Linked DNA regions of Macaca fascicularis. The main gene of each other region encodes a partner of the protein of the gene in region 2 in a complex. Links are inferred from orthologs where the notes say so. Each region holds a gene or a part of one and is shown on either strand. Other genes may lie near its edges.

Region 1 (4,195 bases), on a different chromosome or scaffold from region 2:
GTGTGTATATATATATATATATATATTTTTTTTTTTTAATTGAGACGGAGTTTTGCTCTTGTCGCCCAGGCTGGAGTGCAGTGGCACGATCTCGGCTCACTGCAACCTCTGCCTCGCGGGTTCAAGCGATTCTCCTGCCTCAGCCTCCCGAGTAGCTGGGATTACAGGCACCCACCACCATGCCTTGCTAATTTTTGTATTTTTAGTAGAGACAGGTTTTCACAATGTTGGCCAGGCTGGTCTCGAACTCCTGACCTCAGGTGATCCACTTGCCTCAGCCTCCTAAAGTGCTACAGGCATGAGCCACCTCGCCTGGCCGGCCTGTATATTTTTAAAGGAAATAACCTAAGAGTTTTTTCCAGATTTTCAAAGAGGTCCTGTAAAGATTAAGAACCACTGAACCTTTCTCGTTTGCCTGATCTGGTTACTGTTCTCAGGAATAGGAGGACACAATGTCAGCTTTAACCCAGGCTAGTTCCTCTAAACTGCCTTATCGGTGAAATGAAAATAATAGGGTTGCTATGGGGATTAAATGAGATGATACTCAAAAAGTGATAATTAATGATAAATCATAAGGTGTCTGCCACAAAGTGCCCCTATTATAAACAAACAGTGGCCTGGAGGGACAGTTTATAAATACTGCTCCTTTAGCATTCCACTAATATTCACTGAGTGCCTGTTCTGTGTAGAGGCCCTGGTGAAAAAGATCGGCCTTCCAGTATATTATCTAGTCGAAAGAACCTCAAAAGATACAAAACACGATAGACTGAACGCCCTGAGAAGGGCGTAAGTGCAGTGCTCTAGGAGCTGTAGAAGAGGTCTCGATATCCACTGGAGGAAAGTGTTTATTGGAGTTCATATCTGGAGTGGGTTTAAAAGATGAACAGAGGGAATCTAAAACATACACACAAAATCAATACTACACGTACACATTTTATTCTTGGTTTTGTGGAAAGACCAGTTAGAAACACTGCAATCACTTCTACTACTCAGCAGATACTGAGCAGTAGGTTTCGTGACAGAGCACCTGTATCTTTTGTCCAGTCTGTTTACTATACATTGCGTGCTCTGGGCAGTCCTTATCTTCGTGTTCAGGAACAAAGTACACACACCCCTTTCCGAAACGAAGGGCCCAGGGATTCCGAGAGGGGTGGGAGCCCTCACGGCCAGACCACACAATGGGGAGCCTCTTTACCCTAGTTATCACCCACCCCTGCAGGCTCCACTTTGCCAGGGTTCGACTTCTCGGGTCCTTTCGCCCCTCCCCTGCAGCCCCCAGGAGCGCAGCAACAGCCTGGCCAGGCGCCCTCCCTCTCTCTCTCTCGAGCTTCCCTCCTCCTTCACCGGGAGCCGGAAAACCCGGAGCGAACCAGCCCAGCCCGGCGGCGCATGCTCAGTAGCGAGCAGGTTCAGTTCGCTAGTAGGAAGCTCTAGCGCTACACCGGCGGCGGCGGCGGCGGCTGCGGCGGCACCTCAGGGCAGCCAGATTCCCCAACAACGACCTCGGGTCCTTCCCCTTCCCCGTGAGACCCCCGCCCCAGCTCAGCCCCGCCCGGGGCTCCTGCGTTTCGGGGTACCAACTGAGCAGAGCGGGCGCCGCGGCCGGAGCGTACCTCCACACGTCCTCCCCCAGCCGCCAGCTCCGCCGCGGGGCCAGGCCGGGCCCGAGAGTGCAGCCCCGGCGGGCGGGCGGGCGGCGGCCGCGGCAGAGGGCAGCCCCGGGCGGCGCCGGCGGGCCGGGGAGGAGGCGCGGGGGGCCTGGCCCCGGGGCGGTGGTGCGGGATGCCGCCGCCTCCGGGCCGCGTTCGTTCTCCACAGTTGGTACCCGTGTCGGGTGTGTGGCCGGGCGCGGGCCTCGCCCCCCAGCCCCCTCACCAGGGCTAGCCCGGCTGCGCGGCGCCCGGAGGGGGCCGGGCCGTCCGGTGGGGCCGCGGCCCTGTTCCGTGCTGCGATCTCGCCCTCTCGCAGCTCCCCGGCCCGGCCGCCGCCGCCCCTCTCCCCGCCCAGAGGCGCCCCGGGGGCACCATGCAGGCGCAGCAGCTGCCATACGAGTTTTTCAGCGAAGAGAACGCGCCCAAGTGGCGGGGACTGCTGGTGCCTGCGCTGAAAAAGGTGAGGAGCACGCGGGACCCCGCTTCCCGGCCGCAGCACCCCAGCGCGGGCGCCGGGCTGGCGCTGGGGAAGGGCTGGGGAGGCGGGGCGCGCGCAGGGCTGTCTTTCTTCCCGGTCTCGCCGCGTCTCCAGAAGGACGGCGCACACTGAGAGGCTCGCCATACGGCTGGCTCTCAGTGTTGACATCCACCGGGTGTGTGGGAAGGCCGCAGGGAGCTGGCGGGAGTTTATCCGAATAATCCAACCCCTGAGAGGTGAATGCTTTGCCCTTTGATTCCAAGACAACAGTTGCAGGAGCCTCAGTTTTCTGCGGAGGTCAAAGCAGGCCACCTTTCCGCCTTCTCGGTCTTAGCGCGGAGCTGCTGTCAGCCTGCCGTTTTAGGTGTCCAGTACGCTCGTTTTAGTGGCTTTTCGAGAATGCCCTGGCCGTAGTGCTTGCTCAAAGGAATTGCGAGCTCGCCTGCCAGCAGTAACGTGGCCTGCTCTGTTCGCCATCAGCAATCACTCCTCATTCTCCTGGTTTCCCCCGCTCCTCCGATTAACAGGGGCCGGTGCACATGCTACCAATTTCGGGGTTTTTTTGTTTTGTTTTTGCAGCGTTAGAAACTTGGTGCTGTCATTTGGTTAAGAATTTTTAGCCTTTGTATGTTTAAGTTTGCTACATTGTTACATACCCCCGATCTGTGCTTTTAAATGTTTTAGTATAATTAGGAAGTGTTGTTACATTTTTAAAGCTTCTAAAGCAGCAGTGTGACTACCAGACTATTTTTGTTTCCTTTTCTTCATTTACCTTTTCTGTAAAGATTGCTTTACTCTTCTAATAGTGTTTCTAAATTCCAGTTTCTTGCTGCTTAAAGAATGTTTCATGCTAACTGCTTCTACTAAGAATGGAGATTAATGTTGTACCTTTTATGCTAAACATTAAAAGCTGTCTGATATTTCTCAAAGGCCAGTAACTTTTACTTTCCCTTTTGCCCTGTTCTCCTCCTGTCCCTCTTGCTGTCTTACAGTGGAAACTATTTGGTTTGTCAGGAGTATTTGCTCATATATTTCTGACTTAAGTTACGGACATTTTCCCCTTCAAGTGTCTGACTAGTCACAAACATCTATGTGTTTTTTTTTTTTTTTTTAAAGAAAACCAAAAAGATGCCATGTATCTTACATACTTTACTCCTTAGAAATCCCATCAGGCTCTCACTCCTTACTTTTGCTTTACTTGCAAGTTTGGCTTCTCAGCTTGCAATGGAATGGGTGTAGGACGTCTCTGTGATGCTAGAAGCTGGTGTCCGGATAGGGTAAGAGAAGACAGGGAAATTGTTTAAAAATCTGTAAAGGAACTCATAAAGTATTGCCAAATAGGGGCCATTTTGCTTAGAGGCAAAAACAGCTGCTTTCTTAGGGAATCACCAAGCTATCAGCTGAGAATTCTTTGAAGTAGTGGAAAGAATATTGTAGGAGTTGACAGACCTTGTTTTAATTCTGCCACACTGGTGGCCCTTGCTGGAATCTGTCCACAGAAGCATTTTGTTTGGCTGGCACAGTGTGGTTTTATTTTCAAATGTAATTAGTTGCTAATATTTGAAAATGGGAGATATTACATAAAATCTGAATTTTCTGCTTTTCTTGACGAATAGGAAGGTCTTGTCATTTAGGGTCTGTATTCAAGCGAGGCACTAAACTGCTGGAGGTGAGTAAATGGCTGCCTTCTTTAGACAGGTCGTGTATCTCCACCTTACCACAGCCCCCACTTGTCCTTTTTGCATATTTACATAAACCAGCTTTTGACTTTAAGCTAGAAATATTTTTGCAGTAGAAGTGATAAGAGGAGGTGGAAGTGTACATAATCTAGCTGATATGTAAGGTTCTTCCAATTCTTATTTAAATATCCACTAACAATGATTCTAAACAAGGTTGAAAATACAGTATATTTCATATCTGGATATGTTGTTGGTAGCTCAAAACCTACGTTTTTACCTGCCTGCTGGACATTTCATGTGGATATCTCCATATCTTGATTTCTTCCTTTGATTTATTATTGAATTATTTGTAGATGCATCCAACTTGTGTTCTCTTACTCTTACCT
Region 2 (4,941 bases):
TTCTCTTTGGAGCCCTGTGTGTCTTACTATGTGTTCGGTTGAGGGCCTGCCTCGCCCCAGCGCTGTGGGCTGCACGTGGCCTGCACGTGGCCTGGGTGCTCCTCTGCTATCCACAGCCGCAGGAGACGACGCTCAAATATTTGTGGAAGGAATCCGTGAACAGGCAGATGCACATGTAGCCACTTAGAACTTTCTGGCCGTGGCTTTCATCTGTTGACCACATATGGACATTGAAGATGTATCCTCTCCATCCTGTCTACAGCTGCCCCTGCGCCAGGCGAGTTGGCCGGCCGTTGACAGAGGTGGTGGGCGGGAGTGTTGGAGCAGGGCCGCGGCTCAGGCTCCGGGTGCCTCAGTGGCCTGGTCTGGAAGGTGACCATGCACCAAGAATCAAAGAAGATAAGCTCAAAATAGAGTCTCATGGAGTTTCCAGCCAGAATCTCCCCCACTGCCTGCCTTTCTCCAGATGGTGGAAGGCCCCAGGCCTCACAGCAGGACCCCACCACTGCGTTCCCCCAAAGACTCTGGCCACCTCCATCCCAGGCCTGCCAGTCTTGAGCCTCATGGAGTACGTGAGCTGGCCGGGTCATGCGCAGCCCCAGGACATCTATGGGTGGCACTAAGGGCTGAGTCAGCCACCCTTGTCTCCTCTGTGCCCAAGAGCCCGAGTATCAGGCTGGTCTGAGCCCCAAGGCCTAGGGGTGCAAGGACCAGGGGTTGGAGGCTGTGGAGTCCCAAGCCCCCACTGGACTCCCACCTCAGACACTGCTCCTGGTGTTCTCGCCCAGGCCTGAACCCATCCGCACACTTCGCAGTCCTGCTCCTACCCTGTGTCCCCTCTGCGAGCCCCCATGCTCCCCAAATTGGAAACTGGAGGAATTCTGTCTCCACACCCCAGCTAGTGCCATTCCCTGGTGGGTAGCTCATCACCTCTGGTCCCCTGCAGCCCTTGCCCCTTCACCATGGACGCTGGGAGGGCAGAGCCCGCTCCCCTGCTGAGCCCCACCCTGGAACTCCAAGCACCCTGGGTCCTTGCCTCTGCATCTCCCTCAGGGGCAAGGCTTGGGGCCCCTCCTGCCTCCTGACAGGGAGCCCCTTCAGTGCAGGGCCAGGGGGTGGTGGAGGCAAGGGTCCCCAGGGGACCAGATCTGACGTGCGGGGCCTCCACTGGGTCCCCGTTGGCTGTGCTGCTTAGTCCCCGCGCCCTCGCCTCGGCGCAGGCTCCCTCCTGCCACCAGGCATACGGCGAGGCCTGTGGCTCCCACCCCAAGGGTGCGCTCGGCTCTCACCTGAGGGCTCAGCCCAGGTGTCCGGCCCTGGCAGCTCGGCCCTGGGCGCCCTCCGCCGCCAGGCGCTGTCTCCTACTCCAGGCTGTTCTTCCGGCTGCGGGGTTGCGGCCTGGGTCCCATGGCAACGTGGGCGGGTCCTCATTTGAATACGCAAATATTTATAAGCCGCAGGAGGCTCGGGTTCTGAGGGGCTGAGCCACGCCCCTTAGCAACGGTCGCTAGGGCGGGGCCACGTGAGTTGGCACTTGGGTGGGCGATCCCGGGGGAGGTGACGCGCCACCAAGTCGGGTGGGCGCAGGCGCGTCAGGTGCCAGCTCCCTGCGGCTCCGTGCCCGGGCCGTCGCGGTGCACGTGTCGCGTTTCCTCGCGATCCCGGCGCTTCCCACGCGGGGCCGGCAAGGGCGGTCTCTGCTGGAGGCTCCCGCCCACCTTTCCCACGTGGAAGGGTCGCCCCTGGGGTCGAGGCCTGACGCCCTGACCTTCGATTGGAAGTGAGGCCGACAGCAAAAGGAAGCACCGGGGCAAGCGCCCCGGAGGACCAGGAAACACAGACCGGATGCCGAAGCGCGCCCGAGTGCCCGGCCCGTGGGACACGCCGCCGCCCGCCGTTCAGTCGCCGCCTCTCACCTGCGTTCATGCGCGTCCGCCCCGAGCCGGGCTCTGACTGCGACCGCGCGGTGGATGGACGGCAGGCGGGACCCCCGGGACCGCACGTGGGTGGAGCCCCGGGTCAGCGGCGACCGGCGCAGGAGGGCGTGGCGGCGGGGCGGGCACTGGGTTGGGCAGAGGCAGGGTTTGCCTGACCGTAAAACGCCTTTTTTTCTTTTAAACGCCTTTTTTTTGAGACGAAGTTGCGCTCTGTCACCCAGGCCGGAGTGCAGTGGCGCGATCTCGGCTCACCGCAACATTCGCCACCCGGGTTCCAGCGATTCTCCTGCCTCAGCCTCCTGAGTAGTTGGGCCTACAGGCTCGCGCCACTGCAGCCGACTAATTTTTTGCATTTTTAGTAGAGACGGGATTTCATCATGTTGGCCAGGCCGGTCTTGAACTCCTGACCTCAAGTAATCCACCGGCCTAGGCCTCCCAAAGTGCTGGGATTATAGGCGTGAGCCACCGCGGCCGGCCCCTTTTGCTTTTTTTTTTTTTTTTTTTTTTTTTTTTTTAGACGGAGTCTCGCTCTGCCACCCAGGCTGGAGTGCAGTGGCCGGATCTCAGCTCACTGCAAGCTCCGCCTCCCGGGTTCACGCCATTCTCCTGCCTCAGCCTCCCAAGTAGCTGGGACTACAGGCGCCCGCCACCTCGCCCGGCTAGTTTTTTGTATTTTTTAGTAGAGACGGGGTTTCACCGTGTCAGCCAGGATGGCCCTTTTGCTTTTTAATGAGAATGTATTTCTGATTCCTTTGCAATTTAAAAAAATGTTAAAAAAAAAAAAAAAAACACGTCTTTTGGGGTTTGAAAGAGCTAGGATGTGGTCTTTGTGCTTGGGGTGAGCCCTGGGCACTTCGCTCTCCTGTGGCAACCTGTAGGTACCGTTTAACTGCACCACGCTGAGCTTCTGCATGGTTGGAACCTCAAGTCTGGGGGGACTGAGCGGGCAGGGTCGCCTGCCACGCAGGCCCAAGTAAGAGAAGTGGTGGAGGGGGCGTTCTCACGCCTGGCCCCAGGGAGCACGGCTGCGCCCGCCGCTCGAAACCCCACCGGAGCTGCAAGGCGTCCTCGGGGTGGGCTGAGGTGGGAGTAGGGGAGCTGGGGTGCGTGTGGTAGGTGGGGTGCGCGGAGGAGGCGGGGTGCGCACCGTCCGGGTGCGGGGCCACTCCACCTGCGCGGAAGGGGAGCCGGGCAACCGGACCCCGCGGCCACCCGGGGGCCCCCAGCTCCGAGCGGCCCGCCTTGGTCCCGACGGATCCCAGCCTTTCCTCAGCCGGAGCCCCGGGACCTCCGCGGTGGGCGACGCCGCGCTGCGGACGCAGGGAGGGCCTCGAGTGCACGGGCGCCGCTGAGTCGGGTTCTCTCGCCGGCCTGTTCCCGGGAGAGTCCACGGCCCTGCTCGGATATGCCGCCGCAGGCCCCCAGACACCTGCTCCCTCGCCCTCCTTGAGCAACCCCGAGCTTGCCTCCGCTCGCCGGCCTAGCCCAACCCCCCGAGGCCGCGGCCCTTCTGGCTCCGCCTCCCGCGTTGCTCCCGGAAGCCCTGCCCGACCGCGGCTCCTGACAGACGGGCCGCTCAGCCAACCGGGGCGGGGCGGGGCCTGGTGTAGCGAGGCCAATGGTAGGTCGCGCAGGGCTGACGGACGGGCGCGGGGTGGGGCGTGCGCGAGCCCGGCCGAGTCTCCGCCGCCCGCTCCCTGCGCCTGCAGCCCCAGCCGCACCCGCCGCGGACGGAGCCCATGCGCGGGGAGAACCGCGCGCCCCCGCCCCCGCCCCCCCCTGGCCTCGGCCCCGGCCCCGGGGGCAGTCGCGCCACTGAGCGGTGAGTGCGGGCCGGGGTCGGCCGGGCCGCGCGCCCTCCCCGCCCCCAGGCGGCAGCCATACGCGCGGCGCGGGCCGGGGGCGCGGGACCGGCGGGCGTGAGCGGCTGCGGCGGCGGTAGTGGGTGGGTGGGGCCGGGCCGGGCCGGGCGGGGCCCCCAGGCACAGGTGAGCGGGCGTCGGGGGCTGCGGCTGGCGGGGGCGGGCTGAGGCCCCTTAGTCCCTGGGGCCTGCGGGAATCCGGGCCCCGCCCGTGGCCTCGCTCTGGGCACGGTCCTCACGCCGGCGTCCCCGGGAGCCTCGGGCCCGGCGCCCTCATAACCAGGCGCGTCTGGGCGGAGGCGGCCGCGGCCACGGCACGCCCGGGCACCCCCGATTCAGCATCACAGGTCGCGGACGAGGCCGGGGGCCTCAGCCCCAGGGCCCTTCCCCTCTCCGGGTCTCCCGCGCCGCCTCTCGGCCCCTTCCTGTGGCTCAGCCCCTGCTTCCCAGGAGCCCCTCTGTCTTTTCCAGCTTTCTGTGGCTGAAAGATGCCCCCGGTTCCCCGCCGGGGGCGCGGGGCGCTGCCCGGGTCTGCCCTCCCCTCAGCGGCGCCTAGCACGCAGTAGGCGCTCAGCAAATACTTGTCGGAGGCACCAGCGCCACGGGGCCTGCAGGCTGGCACTGGCCTGCCCGGGCACGCCGTGGCGCGCTCCGCCGTGGCCAGACCTGTTTAGGAGGACGGTAACCTCAGCCCTCGGGCGCCTCCCTTTAGTCTTTCTGCCGACCCAGCAGCTTCTAATTTGGTTGAGAGCGCTCAGCTGTCAGCCCTGCCTTTGGAGGCTGGCTCCCTTTTCCCCTCACTGGGTCCTTAACAGCAAGTGGGGGCGAGGCGACAGCCCTCCCCCGCGCTGGTTTGCAGCTGCACAGGTAGGCACGCTGCAGTCCTTGCTGCCTGGCGTTGGGACCCAGGGCCCGCTATGGGTTTGCTCTTCAGATGGCTCTGCCAGCAGCTGCCCTGTGGGGCCTGGGCCTGGCTGAGCAGGACCATCCTTGGCAGGTGGGGCAGGAGACCCTGTAGGACCCCGGGCCGCAGGCCCCTGAGGAGCAATGACGGAATATAAGCTCGTGGTGGTGGGCGCCGGCGGTGTGGGCAAGAGTGCGCTGACCATCCAGCTGATCCAGAACCACTTCGTGGACGAATA
Region 3 (4,238 bases), on a different chromosome or scaffold from region 2:
CTGGTCTCAAACTCCCGACTTCGGGTGATCCACCTGCCTAGGCCTCCCGAAGTGCTGGGATTACAGGCGTGAGCCACCGCGACCGGCAAAATTGGAATTTTTAACACTCCCTGAACACTCCCAGGGACTCTGCATTACAATGACATGAAATAAATTGTCGTGTAAAATTTGAACAAAACTCTGACGCAAGACTTGAACCCTTTATTGAGGAATATAAAAGGTGGAACACTACATCCCTATAACATGGCTGGCATAAATATGACTAACTTTACTTTTCCACTTTAAGTATCAAAAGATGTAGCCTTAAGTCAAAAATAGATGAGGGTAACAGAATCTTTTCCTAGTTTCAGTCCTTTCTAAATGCTCCAAAGAAGCTTATCCAAAAAAAAAAAGGCCGGGCACAGTGGCTCACACCTGTAATCCCGGCAGTTCGGGAGGCTGAGGCCAAGCCGACCACCTGAGGTCAGGAGTTAAGATACCAGTTTGGCCATATGGCGAAACTTCGTCTCTATGAAAAATACAAAAATTAGCCAGGCATGGTGGCATGCACCTGTAATCCCAGCTACTAGCGAGGCTGAGGCAGGAGAATCTCTTGAACCCGGGAGGCAGAGGTTGCAGTGAGCCAAGACCATGCCACTACACTGCAGCCTGGGCAACAGAGCTAGACTCCATCTCTTGGGGGCAATGGAGAGAGGAAAAAAAAAAAAACCTCTGAATTGTCCAGAATGACTGTCAACATATGAACCAAATCTTTCTTTCCTGATATTCACCAAGGTTGTTAAAATTCTAAGGGTCAATTAAGAGTTATACGAGAAACCTATAACAAGTTTTGCCTAATACCACTTCCCATCGCAACATTTTCATCAAGGTCCACCTTTATGAATAAACACCTAAGTTCAATTAAGACAAGTGAGGAGGTATTAACTTACATTAAAAAAAAAGTCATTGTCCTGTATATTCTACTTAATTTTCAAATAGAATACTATACTGGCCACCAACAAAAAATGTTTAAGGGAAGCTCTGTTAATTTTGTTTTGTCTCACTGTTGTACTTCCAATGTCTCGACTATAAAAGCTAAGTGGGAAGCCTAGGGAAGAAGATACATTGTTGAAACAAAGGCGCTTAATCACACCTATAATTCACAGTATTCCTTTCCTTTCTCTCTGACCCAAGTTCTCATTAAGTGACCCACAGACTCTTCTAAACATCACTATGCTTTCTCTAATCAGAAGCTGGGATGTGCACTGAAATAAATACATTCTAACCAATACATTTTTCAAATTACTAATACAATACTCGTTTAAATATTTGTATTCAAAATTTCTCACTAATCATCTAGCTTTATCAAGTAACACAAACAGGTTAATATACACTATGACTGCCTTGGTAGCCGCAGTTTGACTAAATCCTGGGACACCACTTCAACTTGGAAGGGACAGAACCATATCCGGTTCTCATCAGATACACATTTTCTCATACTTTCCATCTTAAAAACTTTACACCTTCCCAGAAGAGCAATAAATGTAGGAAGACGCCAGGTAGTATGCCTGTAAGGAAGATAAGTGATCAAATTAAATTCCTACGCAAGAAACCTGAAACTTCAAAAACTTTTCCTAAACAAATCACAGATGAAAAAGACAAAGTATGGTTTACCCCATTTCCACTTCTTTTCTGGAGCCAGCTGCCCAAATTCCTGAACAGCAGTCTTAACTTACTGGTTAGTTGGAGGAGCGGTCAATGGTATGGCCACCTCTTCCTCCTCGTATTCTGGTCCATCCAGAGAGTCACCTTCGTCCACTGTCCCCAGGCCCGCCCCCAAAGGGGGCAGGTAAGGGGGAGGGGGCAGAGGGGGAAAACCGCCGCCTGGCCCGAGAGTCTCAGCAGGCAACGAAGTGGGCAGCTTGGTGAGAGCCATGTCTCCACTAGGTCCAGCGACAGCAGCACCGGCCACGCCAGCAGCAGTACCTCCCCCTGTCAGTCCGGCTCCCCCCAATGCCCCTGTCATAGACCCGGCTCCTAGGAACCCTGACCCCAAAGCGGCTCCGCCACCCAGAGTTCCAGCCACTCCAGTCTCCACCAGCCCAGGATAGGGGGCGGCTGCCACAGGCAGGGCCGCGGGTATCTTCACCCGACACACTGCGGGATAGGCACTGGAGCCCGCTGCCGCGCCGCCTCCTCCAGCTCCGGCTGTTACCGGGCCGCCCTCCTCACTGCCGGCCTCGGCCGCCATCATGTTGAAGCCCGCTCTACTCTGCCCTACCCTGCCCGCCCGGGAGCCCCGGGGGCCACCAGGCCCGGGCTCCGAGCCGCCCCACCCAGACGCGTCTCCCCTTCAGCTCCCCAGGCGGAGGAAACAACAACAAAAGGAGAGAGCCCGCCGCCGCGCCCCCTCCTAGGGCCACAGCCCAGGCTCCGGAGCTGCTTGGGTTACGGGAAGCGAAGTGGGCAAAAAACCCAACGCCTGCACAAACGCCACCCAAACCTCACGGCACACACCCACACTCACGCACACAAACACATGTACAGAAGCGAAAACTTCCTGGCTGCACTAAAGAGGAAAGGAAGCACAGGGAAAGAGGCTTAGGTGGCTATCGCTCCTTCAGCAGCCACCACCGCTTCTTCACCACCCCAGTTCCGGCCACCCACACCGCAGCCACCGCCGGTGCCGCTGCTGAGGCTGGGGCCACTGCAGCCGCTTCATCCTCCACCAGGCAGATGAGAGGGGTGGGGACAAGAGAAAGGGGGGCGGGGTAACAAGGAAATCGACTGAACTGCTCACTACCTGGAGCTCTCAGTGACTGAAACCGTAGAGAGAGAAAGGAAGGCGGGGCAGGGGAGGAGGGACGGAGGGAAGGAAGGGCGGAGGAGGGAGAGGGCAGCTTGTGCGCAGGCGCGTTCCCGGAGCGGGGAGCGGGGGGCGGGGGGCGGGGGGCGGGGGGCCGGGCCTGGAGGAAAAGGAAGAGTCCAGAGGGAAGGAAGCGGCGGGGACGCGCGGTGCGTGGTCGCGCTTGCTGTCCTACTCCGGTTCCTAGCGTGCGGCGGCGCGGCCGCATCTCCTGTTGGCGTGGCCGGCGGCGCGCGCCTGTCTCCCGGGGCTTTGTTTGATGGGCGGGAGAAGAGGGAAGGGTACCTGAGCACGCGGGTGCTCGGCGCTGTGAAAGCCGGAGAGACGAGAGGGGGACCGGGAGGCGGCGGAGAGGAAGAAGGGGGAAAGGGAAAGGAAAATGCCTAGAAACTAGTTCCGTACTTCCTGACCGGTGGAAGAAACAGCCTTAGCCAGCAGCGCAGAGACCATGCAGGAGTCAGGTAGCTTTGAAGATCGGGGCAGTACTAAATGTTGTCTTTTTCGTTGCATGCTATAAATCACCATGACTATCTCACACACACACAGATAAAATAGATTCTGAAACTCCGAAACGAAATAAAGGGCACCATATGAGAAGGGTGGGGAATTTTGGTAGAAATAGTGGTTATGAAGTAAGATTTCTACTAGTATTTGCATAGGTTTTTCTTTATCAACTGTCTCATATACTTACCTATGCTATTATAAGTCTGTTGGATACTGATGAAGAGGAGGGGGTGCCACAGAAAACACTAATCAATGCACTTTTGTCCTCTGTGTGCAAAAGACTGCAGGGTGTGATCCGCAATGCAAGCACCTTCAACAAGTCAAATGTCAAGAATGTCCCAGAATGCCAGTTACAATTATATATCGTTTCTAAAGTAGCAATAAACTGAAAACTCATTTTTAATACAATTAAGGAGAAGAGTGTTATTTTGTCTTCTACACTAAAATGTATACAAACTATTACATGCATTCATGTACAGGGAGCTTCTCATGGTTTGAAATTAACGGTATTGTTATTTTAAATTCTCCCAGTAGTAATCCCACGTTGAATACCATTGGATATTGATCTTTGAGATCAGTATTTTCTCTGCTAAGGATGATCAAGCCAACACTCCGGATGGCAAGTGGTTGTGATAGAAACAAAGGAACAAGAGAAAAGACCACTAAAAGAGGTGGCAAGATACAGGCAATGCATTTTCTTTGTAAATTTGCGTAGGCCTATTTACCTAGTCGATGACAACGATCCAACTTGATTAGGAGTAGTCCTGGGACCTCCATTATGCTTATGTCTTAGGCAATGTGCTACTTGGGAGAAGGAAGATGAACCAGTCACAGGAGCTAGAGTTCTCGAGTGAATTAAGGCCAGCAATATCCTAGGAATTCAGTAATG
Region 4 (4,272 bases), on a different chromosome or scaffold from region 2:
CAGGTTTGCTCAGTTGGTGACATTTCATCAACCTAAATACTTAATGATTGGTGATCTTTTTGTACTTCGATTTAAAAAAAAAAAAAGGTCGAGCATGACACATTTAGGTAAAAAGAAAAAAATGCACACTCAAAAGAAAAGTCTGTTTCTAGGAGCACATGTTTATACAATGTGCTTAAACGCACAGACAGCAGTTTGGACGAAACTCGACAACATGTCATATTGGTCACACCCTGCTTAAGAAAGACAGGGGATGGGGAGGGGCTTCCCAAAGGCTTTACCTCCATCTTTGATGGTTTTTGATGTGTGTGTGGGTTTTTTTTGTTTTGTTCTGTTTTTTGTTTTTTGAGATAGGACTGACGTGCAGTGGCACCATCAGGGCTCACTGCAGCCTCCACCTCCTTGGGCTCAAGCAATCCTCTTGCCTCAGCCTCCTGAGTACCTGGGACTACAGGTATGCACCACTATGCTCAGCTAGCTTTTTTTTTTCTTTTTTGTTTGAGACAGAGTTTTGCTCCCGTTGCCCAGGCTGGAGTGTAATGGTGCGATCTCGACTCACCTCAACCTCCGCCTCCTGGGTTCAAGCAATTCTCCTGCCTCAGCCTCCCAAGTAGCTGGGATTACAGGCATGTGCCACCACGCTGGGCTAATTTTGTATTTTTAGTAGAGACGGGGTTTCTCTATGTTGGTCTCAAACTCCCGACCTCAGGTGATCCGCCACCTCAGCCTTCTAAAGTGCTGGGATTACAGGAGTGAGCCACCACGCCAGCCTAACTTTTTACATTTTTTTAGAGACGGGGTTTTGTCGTGTTGTTCAGGCTGGTCTCAAACTCCTGGACTCAAGCGATCCGCCTGCCTTGGCCTCCCAAAGTGCTGGATGACAGGCGTGAGCCCCCGTGCCTGGCCCAGTATGTAATGTTCTTTTAAGGTAACAGTGGATTGTGTGAGGATTAAATGAGTTAGTATTTTTAAAGTCCTTAGAGCAGTGTGTGGTACACAGTAGGTGCTATGTGGAGGTTTGTTACAATAAAGTCAGAAAGTGAAAATGTTTTCCAGGGTACAAATGGTATCACTTAAACTAGGAATAAGAGAAGCCTATGAAGAAATATATAAAATACTATGTCTTGTGAGTTTCCATTCAAACCTTCGTGAATTATATATATCAGTATGTCCTTCTAGAAAGACAGACTTATCTTTTTGAGTGTGTGTGTGTTTTTACATAAATATCAGTCATGCTTTGAAAAGAAAAACCCCTGCTTTTATTGAAGTATGACAGTGACGGGTCTTGAGACCGAAAGATGAGGGAGATAGAGAGCCCGCCGGGGCTCTTGAGGGTGGGAGAGCCAGCAGTGCCGGAAACCTCAGCAGAAGGGATCCCCGTGTGGGGGAGGGGGGCCTTTGGTCTCTCCCCAGCCTCTTCCTTCCCCCTGGCCTGAGGGTGGGTGGGGAGGGGCAGTTCCTCTTTCCTTCCCAAGCACCGAGGAGGCCCCAGCTCCCTAGGGGCTGAGAAGCTGGAGTCCTGGGGAAGGGGAGGAGCCGAGCCATACTCTTGCAAGACCCCCGCCCTCCTCCCCCCCCCACCGGAAACATGAACAGAAAAGACAGCAAGAGGTGAGAGGACCCTCCCCAGGGAGCCCGGCAGCACCCTGAGGCCTCCCTCTGCATGGGAGGGCTGGGGAGATCACTCGCCAGGGTGGCAGGATGCCTGGCTTCTTCGGGACCGGGTGCAGGGGGGCCAGGTGGATGCTTCAGGGTTCAGGGAGTCTGGAGCCAGCTAGGGCGGCAGTGGCTTGGATGTGGCATCTGTACCATGTTGTCCCTGGAGTTTGAGCTGCTCTTTGCCCCTTTCCCACTTCTTGTCACCACACCTCCATCCCTGGCCTGGGCTGAGTGTCTCTGCCCTCCCTGGGGGCTTCCTGGTTCCCCATCCCCTTGGACTGGAAACTCCAAGCTCCTGCAGGGCCCTGGCCCAGGAGAGGCCTGGGAGTGTGACACAGGGCAAAGTGGCTCCCCTGCCTCTTAAACCACTTCTGGCTGTTCCAGAGCCCTACAGGGGGCTGCAGGACAGGGCCTAGTGGCTGGCTGTGTGGCTGGTTCTAGAATGGGCTTCTATCTCCTGGGCAAGCTGGCCCTTCTGTCCCCACAGAGGCAGATAGGGTGGGTGTCTCCCTAGCCTGGGTAGCTCCTCCTGCCATCCCCAGAATCACTCTGATGGGCAAAGGGCTTTCCTCCCCACCCAGCAATTTAGTGGTAGACTCCTGGCTGACCTTAGGTAAGTCACTTAACTGCTCTGTGTCTTGGGTTTTTCTTCTGTCAATAGAATAATCATAGCCTCCACCTCGGAGAGGCCTGTAAGTACTCAATGAGACACTCTAGACCAGTGGTTCTCAAACTGGAGCGTGCCTCAGAACTGTCTGGAGGGCTTTTAAAATACAGGTTGCTGGGCTTACCCTTATTATTTTTTTCTTTCTTTTTTTTTTTTTGAGACGGAGTCTCGCTCTGTCTCCAGGCTGGAGTGCGGTGGCACAATCTCGGCTCACTGCAACCTCTGCCTCCTGGGTTCAAGCGATCCTCCTGCCTCAGCCTCCCAAATAGCTGGGATTACCGGTGCATGCCACCACACCCGGCTACTTTTTTGTATTTTTAGTAGAGATGGGGTTTCACCATGCTGGGCAAGATGGTCTCGATCTCTTGACCTCGTGATCCGCCCACCTCGGCCTCCCAAAGTGCTGGGATTAGAGAGGCATGAGCCACTGCCCCCAGCCTTAAAATGTTTGATTTTGTAGGTGTCGGTTGGGACCTGAGAATCTGTATTTATATCCAGTTCCCAGGTGATGCTTTTGTACTAGCTGGGTGCCCACACTTAGGGAAACGCTGATTTAGTTACAATGCTCCCTCCTCGGCCTAGGACATATTTAATACTTTAAAATGTCCCTTCTAGTAACAGTGGCTCATGCCTCTAATCCCAGAACTTTGGGAGGATAAGGCAAGGAGAACTTGAGGCCAGAAGTTCTAGACCAGCCTGGGCAATATAGTGAGACCCCCATCGACACACACACACACACACAAAATTAGCTGGGTACGGTTGTGCACACCTGTAGTCCCAGCTAGCTGGGAGACTAAGGCAGGAGGATCACTCGAGTCCAGGAGTTCAAGGTTACAGTGAGCTTTGATTGCACCATTGCACTCCAGCCTGAGAGACAGAGCAAGATCCTGTCTAAAAAAGGGTAGAGGTAGGGGCCTGGCGTGATGGCTCACACCTATAATCCCAGCACTTTAGGAGGCAAAGGTGGGAGGATCAGTTGGGCCCAGGAGTTCGAAACCAGCCTGGCCAACACGGTGAAACTCCATTTCTACTAAAAATACAAAAATTAGCTGGGCTTGGTGGCAGGTGCCTGTAGCCCAACTAATTGGGAGGCTGAGGCAGGAGAATTGCTTGAACTCGGAAGGTGGAGGTTGCAGTGAGCTGAGATTGCACCACTGCACTCCAGCCTGGGTGACAGAGTGAGACCCTGTCTCCAAAAAAAGAAAAAAAAAAAAATCCTTGGGGAAGGTCCAAGGACTATCTTCATTTTTCCTTTGAGGAAACAGCCCCAGAGAAATTAAGTAACTAACACGAAGTCACAACAGCTGGCAGAAATTTCTGGATTCTACTTTCGTTTGAAACATGGATTCAGCTCCCTCCCTCCTCCCACCATCCCTGTCTCTCCATTACCCTCTTTCCCCATCAGGAACAGCAGCCTCTGGGAGGCACCAGGCAGAGGAAGAATTATTATTACTATTATTGTTATTATTATTATTATTATTTTGGAGACGAAGACTTGCTCTGTTGCCCAGGCTGGAGTGCAGTGGCGCAATCTCGGCTCACTGCAACCTCTGCCTCCTGGGTTCAAGCGATTCTTCTGCCTCAGCCTCCTGAGTAGCTGGGATTACAGGTGTGCACCACCATGCCCAGCTAATTTTTGTATTTTTAGTAGAGACGGGGTTTCACCATGTTGGTCAAGCTGGTCTCGAACTCATGACGTTGTGATGAGAGGATTATTTTCCCACCTTCCTTGAAGCTGCCTCAGCCCCAGGAACCTCTCACCTAACTCTGAGGAGCCCCAGAGAAGACCATTTAGCACTGGTATTTCCTCTCCAGTCCCAAATCTAAGGACCCAGACTGAAGGCTAAACTGTAGGTCCTGCCGGAAGGCTAACTTCAGAGAGGGGTCTGTTACCTTAGTGGGGTGAAGGGGTGGGAGAAGGGCAGAGATGAAATCCTGGGGTTTCC

The links. Proteins that work in one complex are often made in the same cells at the same time.
Region 1: the proteins of HRAS (region 2) and SOS1 are in contact, whole or in part, in a crystal structure (PDB 4NYM), measured with the Homo sapiens proteins. The link is inferred for Macaca fascicularis from reciprocal best matches to the Homo sapiens genes HRAS and SOS1. Residues at the interface, in NP_001123914.1 of Homo sapiens: Gly13, Gly15, Ser17, Ala18, Thr20, Ile21, Gln25, Asp30, Glu31, Tyr32, Asp33, Pro34, Thr35, Glu37, Tyr40, Arg41, Asp54, Ile55, Leu56, Asp57, Thr58, Ala59, Gly60, Gln61, Glu63, Tyr64, Ser65, Ala66, Met67, Arg68; in NP_005624.2 of Homo sapiens: Glu589, Lys602, Trp809, Thr810, Lys814, Leu822, Met824, Ile825, Arg826, Thr828, Thr829, Thr832, Glu836, Asn869, Leu872, Val875, Ser876, Asn879, Ser880, Ser881, Tyr884, Ser908, Asp910, His911, Tyr912, Lys913, Leu916, Phe929, Phe930, Gly931.
Region 3: the proteins of HRAS (region 2) and RASA1 are in contact, whole or in part, in a crystal structure (PDB 8BOS), measured with the Homo sapiens proteins. The link is inferred for Macaca fascicularis from reciprocal best matches to the Homo sapiens genes HRAS and RASA1. Residues at the interface, in NP_001123914.1 of Homo sapiens: Gly12, Gly13, Ser17, Ile21, Gln25, Asp30, Glu31, Tyr32, Asp33, Pro34, Thr35, Ile36, Glu37, Asp38, Ser39, Tyr40, Arg41, Gln61, Glu62, Glu63, Tyr64, Ala66, Met67, Lys88, Lys117; in NP_002881.1 of Homo sapiens: Gly746, Arg749, Glu783, Thr785, Thr786, Arg789, Ala790, Thr791, Glu799, Lys803, Ser833, Arg894, Gly898, Phe901, Leu902, Arg903, Cys906, Pro907, Leu910, Asn911, Met914, Arg928, Ile931, Ala934, Lys935, Gln938, Asn939, Asn942, Val944, Ala948.
Region 4: the proteins of HRAS (region 2) and RASGRP4 are in contact, whole or in part, in a crystal structure (PDB 6AXG), measured with the Homo sapiens proteins. The link is inferred for Macaca fascicularis from reciprocal best matches to the Homo sapiens genes HRAS and RASGRP4. Residues at the interface, in NP_001123914.1 of Homo sapiens: Glu3, Gly12, Gly13, Gly15, Ser17, Ala18, Ile21, Asp33, Pro34, Thr35, Ile36, Glu37, Tyr40, Arg41, Asp54, Leu56, Asp57, Ala59, Gly60, Gln61, Glu63, Tyr64, Ser65, Ala66, Met67, Arg68, Asp69, Gln70, Arg73, Thr74; in NP_733749.1 of Homo sapiens: Tyr228, Gly232, Val234, Val244, Asn248, Ser251, Asn288, Met291, Ala292, Gly295, Gly296, Cys298, His299, Ser300, Leu327, Ala328, Ser329, His330, Asn331, Asn332, Tyr333, Ala334, Arg337, Leu351, Gly352, Val353, Leu355, Lys356, Val359, Ser360.

What each region holds. Positions count from the first base shown.
Region 1 is NC_088387.1:83,039,040-83,043,234, forward strand, and holds the start of SOS1 (son of sevenless homolog 1), read left to right. Parts: upstream 1-1,395; 5' UTR 1,396-2,025; coding exon 2,026-2,112; intron 2,113-2,242; exon of another isoform or gene 2,243-2,366; intron 2,367-4,195.
Region 2 is NC_088388.1:432,944-437,884, reverse strand, and holds the start of HRAS (GTPase HRas), read left to right. Parts: upstream 1-1,585; 5' UTR 1,586-2,002; exon of another isoform or gene 2,003-2,018; intron 2,019-3,614; exon of another isoform or gene 3,615-3,759; intron 3,760-4,796; 5' UTR 4,797-4,846; coding exon 4,847-4,941. UniProt on the Homo sapiens protein: Involved in the activation of Ras protein signal transduction. Ras proteins bind GDP/GTP and possess intrinsic GTPase activity.
Region 3 is NC_088380.1:91,254,705-91,258,942, reverse strand, and holds the start of RASA1 (ras GTPase-activating protein 1), read right to left. Parts: upstream 2,801-4,238; 5' UTR 2,234-2,800; coding exon 1,716-2,233; intron 1-1,715. UniProt on the Homo sapiens protein: Inhibitory regulator of the Ras-cyclic AMP pathway. Stimulates the GTPase of normal but not oncogenic Ras p21; this stimulation may be further increased in the presence of NCK1.
Region 4 is NC_088393.1:45,488,212-45,492,483, reverse strand, and holds the start of RASGRP4 (RAS guanyl-releasing protein 4), read left to right. Parts: upstream 1-1,472; 5' UTR 1,473-1,588; coding exon 1,589-1,611; intron 1,612-4,272.